Linked DNA regions of Macaca fascicularis. The protein of the gene in region 1 purifies or fractionates together with the protein of each later gene. This does not show direct contact. Links are inferred from orthologs where the notes say so. Each region holds a gene or a part of one and is shown in the gene's direction. Other genes may lie near its edges.

Region 1 (3,513 bases):
TACTTTAACCTTGTCCCACTTCTATTTCAGGAAGATACACTTTTTAACACTGTTATGGACATTAATGATAAAAGGCTTGCAAATAAGTGTATACGCTGACAGAGCAGCATAGAGTTATCTGAACAGTGAGGACTATCACTGCAGGGCATTACTGTGCACAGAGCTCTGGTTTGGTTTGACTATGGCAAATCTGCCTTTTCAACAGCCCCTCTAAATAGGGAGTTTCTCCTTTTACATTTTCCTCTTACCAAATAACAGTGTCTTCTCTCCTATCCATTGTCTATGAGGCTGTAAAAGGTATAGTTATACCCTTGGTGTTCTTAATTGCCCATCAAACTGTTCTGCCTTTAAAGTTTTTTTGTTGTAAATGTCAGAACATGCATAGTGACCTTTTTTCTAGCTGGAAGCCTCCAGAGAAGCAGGAGCAGCAGCTCTGAGAAACGTGGCCCGGAGATTATTTGAAAACTACCAAACACAGTCTGAAGAAGTGAGAAAGAAGCATGAGGACGGTAAACACTTACTCCAGGTACCAAACAGGCAGCTTGTCTATGGGAGAACTAGCCCCCACCCTGAGCTGTTCAAGTTCATCTTTCTGGAAGAGTTAGAAATGAAACAAGCAATGGCCAAGTGACTTGGCAAAAGACTTGGGAAAGGAGCGGTGTGCTAGTCTTTTCTGCCAGTTTCCCTCGCCCCTGCTTAGCCCGACACCCCCAGATGTTGCTGAGCTGCTGTGTTGCAGTTGTTGCCCGATCCCCCATGAGCACAGGTGGGAGGGAGGCAGTGCCACCCTGCCTGGAAATCTGGGCTGGCCCTGCGGAGCCTGACTGGTAACCTCTCTTCGGGTTCTGCCATTGACTTGCTAGATGACCCAGACTGAGCCATTCTTCCTGTCTGGATTTGGGTGTCCTTGTCTCTAGAATGAAAGAGTTGGGCTAGACACATGATTTCAAAATTGTTTTGGACTTAGGATACATACTTTGGGTTATAGAAAATAGAAAACAAAATATGTATCTATATGTTTTTAAAAATATATAAAGATATATATTTTTAAAATATATAGTTATATATAATAAATTATATTATATATAAAGTATAATAAATAATATATAATATATAAGTTATATATTTTTATATTTTAATATGTAAATATATAAATTTTAAAAATAAAAATGTACATACACTTATACATGTTCTTTTTTGTTCATTTGTTTTTAAATCTGAAGTATATACACTAGGGCCAATAAAATCTGTCTGAAAAATATATTCTAGAACTGGAGAAGTCAAAAAAGTGTGTGTATGCCTGTATGTGTGTGTTTGCCAAAATTAAAAATATAAAACAGCTAATAGGTAAGTTCACTCATAATAGTTTGGGGCACCCAGGTGTCTGTCAGCTCAGGCTGTAGGAAGGTCCCCAGGGGAGTACAGTAGGAAATTCACTGCCTAGGTGACACCCTTTCATGCAGCAAGCTGTGGTAGTGATGGTTGCATACTCACATGCATGCAGGGTGCAGATGAAGAACATAAGCGGGAAGCTGATGAGGGTGCTATGCTATGGCGGGGGGCTTGTGGGGACAAGAAGCATGCATCCCTGTAATGTGGGCTCGGCACTAGCCTGGAGTGAACTGACTGAAAGGCCCGCTTGGTACTTACAAAGGAAGCCAGACACTTATTTTTCCCTGTGAAATGTCAAGCTTTGTTAAATACACATGCGGAAGAGTAACAAGTTAGTCGACACAGTCCCGCTGTAGCCTATTACCTGCTAGATGGAAACTTCTCTCCTATGATCCCTCAGCACAACCCCTGCTCTATGCCTGTGAAGTAGCACGGTGACACGCTGAGGAGAGTTATTCTGATTTTATGACACTTTCTGATTAAAAATAAAAAGTGTTTTAATTGAACCTGTATGGTTTTTTTTGGTTCTGGATAATAATTGTTGAGAAAAAGTCAACAATGTTGCTTTTGTTAAATTAGCATCTTTCTCTCTTGTATCAATTCAGAAAGTATGCTTTATGGTAACAAATGGAAGCATTCTAGGAAGGATATTTATGTTTATTATAATATTAATTCTTGATTTAATGTTGTTGTAGTCTATCAGGGTTATTTTGAAGGAAACACTGAAATCAAAAAGAGCAATTCTAAGCAAGTATGAATTCTGAATTTTTTTGGCTAATTAGAAAATTGTAGAAAGAGGTAATATGTGTATAGGTTTAATAAAAACAGAGTTTTCACAACACAACTGTTTCTCTGACCATAGGTTAACAAGCTTGAAAAAGAACAGAAATTGAAACAACATGTTGAAAATCTGAATCAAGTTGCTGAAAAACTTGAAGAAAAACACAGTCAAATTACAGAATTGGAGAACCTTGTACAGAGAATGGAAAAGGTACAGCCCTGGAGAATTAGAGGATTTTCTTACTGACAGGGTTAGGATGAGAATGAAATAAAATAATACCAAAATAAATAGGATATTAAATTAAATAAGATAATGTTAAGTGAAAGTATTCTTTACAGTATTTGCCCTTAGGAAGCATTTAATATTAATTTTCCCTTAAACATTTCATATGATCTATACTGTAGTGATTGACTTACCTTTCTGCAAATACTGTAGTCATATCATCATTTGTCACTTTCTAGGAAATACATGACTTAGAAAGGGGAACCAGGTGAGGCTGTGAATGCAACTAATGGAAAAGAGCACAAAGTCCATCTACTAGGAGTATTAATATAGCAGGTCCCTGTAATCACAGCATTTTTATGTATTAGAGTCAGTGCAGTATCCATTTTTGATCACCCAAGTCTACTTTGTGTTTGTAAAAACCTATGGCTGCACTAGGAGAGATACAGTTTACATTAAGAAAAGCCATTCTATAGAAATTGGAACTTTAAGAAGGCACATTTAGAGAAGAGTAATAATAGAATAAAAATTTGAAAATATTTCATGCCATGTTCATTTAACTAGCTAGCATTCCAAATATACACAAAAGGTGAACACGTAAATTTGTGTATGTATGCCTTAGAATTTAGAACTTGGACAAATCAAGGAATATTATTTTTTAATAGCAAAACAAAGAGAAAACTGGCATCTCTGAAACTGAATTGGGGATAGAGAAAAATATAGGCTTTGGATACTAGTAAATATTGCCCAATACATTTTTTATATTTATTGTATTTGCCTCTGTTATTTTTAGCTTTAATTTGTTTTATGAGTCTGCCTGGGTTTATGCCATTTCATAAATATCATTTCAAAAACATCACATTTCAATATTTAGGTTTCTTATCAAAGGAACTTTGATTTGTTTAAAAATATTTCCCAAGAATTTAAAGTTTTATGACATTGTGATTTGGTTGAATTCGTAGTCTTGGTGAAGGACCTATGAGGAAATCATAAAAATTAAATATGCCCATTATCAAGTGGCTCTAAGATAACAGTATTCAGCTGCATGTGTATTATGTGGTAGGTCACTGAGTGTTATACTTTAGCAGAATCACTGGGCTAGAATATCCTTAAGCAAT
Region 2 (4,203 bases), on another chromosome or scaffold:
ATTATTAGTGTTTCCCCCCACGGATCCTATAAATCACATTCAATCCACTATGCCATAATTTAAATGTGTAAAAACTGTGCATCAGACTTTTATTGGATTAAACAACAAAGTATGGGAACTGGGCAAAAATGACATAGAGCTATCCAAGAGTCTCTGCTGTCGCTGGTTGAGAAGGATGCCAAGATCAAGGAGTTGATTCAGGTAACTAAGGGAATCTGAGGAAACATCGTTGCTTAACTGTAAAAACTAAATCAAACTACTTCATCCTCCTCAGAAGACCACAGCAAACATCCATCTTGCTCCTCTGTAGCCTGGATGGGGCAGACCCAGGTGTTAGGAGACGCACCTGGTCCGCTCCCGCCCACTAGGCCCTGGGCACCTCGGGGCTAGGGACAGAGGTTTGGAGCAACTCACCCCGGAGACTCCGTTGATACTGCCCCAGAATCTCCTCCAGGGTAGAGTTCTCCGGGGACTTCGCCATGCACACACTCTAGGCCCAGAGCTGGGAGTTACGTGGGGAAATGTCCAGCTTTCTCCCTTCCGAAAACAGCAGGCCTGTGGCCGCGGAGCGCCGGCCTGCTTCCTGCCGCGGCTGTCACAGGGGAGCCTAGAATCCCGCACGAAGCTCGTGGGGGCTCTTCCCACCCACTGGCCCTCGCGTTGGACCTCGGGAGTTGTAGTCCTCATGTTCAGCGCCTCCAAGCTCGACAATCCTGAGAGCCTTCCAGCTACACTACAATTCCCAGAGACCACTGCGCACCAGGCGCTAGCTCGGACGGTTGGGCTGCCAGAGCCTGTTGCCAAGAGACAGGCTTGCAGGCCCCGCCCTTTTCCTCCAGCCCAGCCTGGTTTAGTCCCGCCTCCATCCCGCTCTTCTGCCGCCTGGACCACCCCAAATGACAGAAAGGGTTCACTGAAGGCCTTGACGCTTCGAATTTGCTAATATGCAGCAGTTGATCCCTAGGTTACTCAAGGACGCAGAGAGGAACCTCTGAACCCTGCTTCGGTTGCGGTATTTTTTTAAACGGTCGAATAAATCCTCAAGAAATAGAAGCTCTAAATCCTCCAAACAGCCTAAATTGTAAAGGCGGCCGACACTACAACTCCTAGCATGCCCAGTAACCGGACCTCCACTTGGAGTTGGCGCTCTGCCCGCTGGGAACTGTAGTCCTTGTTGGTTGCGGTCCCACCTAACTCCGAGGTCCTCTTCATTGTTCTAGCTGGTCTTTCGGGGCACGCCTGCGCAGTGGGCAAGCTGGAAAAACGTGTGGGTGAGACCCTCGCACAACCCCTTTTCATTGTCTGTGTCTGGCGCCTGCGCAGTAAGGAATCGTTGGAACTGGGCAGGAGGAGGGGATAGGGTCCAGCTCCTCGCCCTTTCCCGAGGCGCCTGCGCACTAGGCAGCCGCTCTTTGCCGTTACCGCTATGTGTGGGGCGTGTGTGGAATAACGTTATTGCCCAGCGGAGCTGAGGGCCCCGGAGCTCGACCGCAGCGGCAGCGACGACAACAGCGGCGGCGACGACGACGAGGTGGGGGGAGGACGGCGTGCGAGAGACTCACGGGACGCGACGCGCCCCGCCTCCCCCGTCCGGTCCCTCTCGCCACTGTGAGGGGTAAGTGATGCGATCGGCTGCTCGGTGTAGGCGCCGCAGCCGCCGCCGCGGCTGCTTTTCCACGTCCTGCTCCTCGGGTTTGCAGCGAGGACTCGGGCGCGGCCCGCCGCGGGGCGGGGGTGCGGGGCTGCGGGGCTGGACCGCGAAGGGGGCGCTTCCCGGATGCTCCGCGCGGCGCCGCCACCCCCACCCTCTGCCCGCCCAGGACCGGGGTCTGGACGGGACCACCCTTCCCATCCCCCACCCGCCGCCCTCGGGAGCTCCAGTCCTGCGGCCCCCCGGCTTTCCCGAGTCCCTGGCCGCCGCCTCCGCGTCCCCTAAGTGCATTGACTCATTTTCAGCTTTCTCCTGGCTTTGTGCAGCCCTCCCCCTTCCGCCGTAGCAGTTTGCGAGGGGTGCGGGCGGAGCATTGGAGGGAATGGCTGCGCTGTCGCTGGGGAAGGGATTTTTCCCCGATTGGAGCAGTTCCGCGGGCCGATCCCTTTTGTGTGGTTGGTTTTGAGGTGTGAGGCCGTTGGCGAGGTCAGGCGAGGAGCCTTTTGGACGCGTTGGGAGGGCGTGGAAGACGCGCTGTCATGCACCCTGCCAGGCGACTGCACCCCGCGGAGGCTCTGGCTCCGTAGTAAACCCGGGGGAGGAGAGAGTGGCTTCCTGTCGGCTTCATTGTCCTAGGATTCAAATATAGGGTTTTGGTACGTTTCGCTTCCATTTTATGCAAGCGATGAAAAAATAACATTTGCAGCTGCCTAACACAGGGCGGGAAGACGTGGGATTTGTCTACTAAGTCACAGAATCTCTGTTCGGTGGCGTTTCGTAGAGTTTTATTTACTTATTTAATTTATTTTTGAGGAATGTAAGGGAGACAGGGACTATGCCTGCTGGAGTCCAAGCACTGCCAAGGTGATCAATATAAAATTACTAGGTGACATTGGAGCCTGGGCTGGAGAGGGCCTGACAACGAAGCTGTTGTGTCAGGGAAATGAACCAGCAGAATTGTTTTTTCAATGGGCGGGTAATGCATTTATGTTCCTGAGGGAATAGATACATCTTTCCGTTTTATTTTTTAAGCAAGTAGAACAAACAAAACAACTGGCCCAGGTCATTTCTGTTTCCGAAGTTGTTACCTCATTTTTATTGTATTAATGAAAATTTAGCCATTTGGGAGGAATTTGGCGAAGCAGATGATACATTTGATTGAAAATGCATCTTTTAAAACGATTTCATCCTCAAGTTTACAATGGATACAGCCGTTTGCTGGCGTTGCTTCTTAAAACACACCAGAAGAGAGGATAACGCAGGATGGGGAGGAGCAGGTGGAGGAATAATGGGAGAGGAGAGAGTGACATTTTGACTATAGTATCTGGATCTTCACTGGTATAACCCTAGCTGGGTATGCTTCAGAGACTTAGGAATTCAGCTCTGGAAACAGTACACTGATGAATAGCAAGTTACGTATTTTTCTGTCATTATTTTTTAAAAAGTAAAACTAGGGCTGCCTTTAGCTCTTCCTAACTTTGTAGGTAACACGGAAGAGCCCAAGTGCACTTGACAGAGGAAGACACTAAAACTCAGAAAGTTAACTGACTTGTCTGCCCAAGCCAGACTGTTAATGGAAGGCAGAGCCAAATGAAACTCAAGGTCCATTCTGCAGAGTGATCTTTCCTGTGTCCCCCCAGCCCTTTTACCCTGTGAAAATGTATGGAAAGCTTCTTTACGCTCTCCTTGAGCAGGCTGTGACTATCACTGGACTTGATTCTCACCGTTATTAATCAAGTTCTTGCCTCTGCGATGTAAAAGTAGTAATTCTTCTGAAATGGACCTTTAGTTGTATAAAGTAACTTACTAAATGAGGAAAGATGTCCTAACATGTGCTTTTCATAAAAACGAAGTGTTGCAGTGTTTTCCCTACTACTTAATGGTAGGTTTTAGTATTATTTCTTGAAAATCAATAGTATTTTATAATAATATCATGATCAACTCTATAGGCTGTGTTAAAAATAAAATTTCTGCATAACAAGAGCCTGTGATGTTTATTTTACCACAGTTAATGAGTTGTAATCATTAATGAGTTATTAGTGATTACTTTCAACTTAAACTAGAATTTACATTTTAAGATATATTAACTTTGTTTTTTATTGGGTTGATTTTGCCATAAAGTGCTCTTTTCTTGCCTTATAATTTTAATCGTTTAATTTTATGTTGCATTTTAATAGACTTCTTTAAAGGATTTATTATTTATCTTAAATTTCAACTTTAAAAAATGTGTAACTAAATTTCAGTGTGTGGAATTATATTCAATCATGCTTTAAATGTATTTTACTGGTAAATTTCATTGTGTTCTGAGATTATTTTGTATGGAAATAATCTGCCTGTTCCCTATTTTAACATTAGAATAGTGAAATTTATACTGTAAACCTTAGCATACATTCTGCATATTAATGCTGCTATGGTACTTTTTAAAATTCTGTGCTTCGTGATTTGTTTGATTTGTTCTAAGTATCAGTTTCTTGTTCCTTTTTATCTACTGAAAAAAAGAACTAGTTTTATTATTGTATCTGATTGCAATTAGATAATGCTCATCTAGTACT

Evidence for each region.
Region 2: the proteins of CCDC68 (region 1) and CEP170 purify together in Homo sapiens (co-immunoprecipitation; 3 studies listed by BioGRID and IntAct, counting the BioPlex papers as one, with this or other methods). This does not show direct contact. The link is inferred for Macaca fascicularis from reciprocal best matches to the Homo sapiens genes CCDC68 and CEP170.

The regions. Positions count from the first base shown.
Region 1 is NC_088392.1:26,040,486-26,043,998, forward strand, and holds part of CCDC68 (coiled-coil domain-containing protein 68), read left to right. Parts: intron 1-400; coding exon 401-526; intron 527-2,254; coding exon 2,255-2,383; intron 2,384-3,513. UniProt on the Homo sapiens protein: Centriolar protein required for centriole subdistal appendage assembly and microtubule anchoring in interphase cells. Together with CCDC120, cooperate with subdistal appendage components ODF2, NIN and CEP170 for hierarchical subdistal appendage assembly.
Region 2 is NC_088375.1:5,967,331-5,971,533, forward strand, and holds the start of CEP170 (centrosomal protein of 170 kDa), read left to right. Parts: upstream 1-1,394; 5' UTR 1,395-1,615; intron 1,616-2,117; exon of another isoform or gene 2,118-2,307; intron 2,308-4,203. Other genes in the region: SDCCAG8 (serologically defined colon cancer antigen 8), read right to left, coding at 415-481.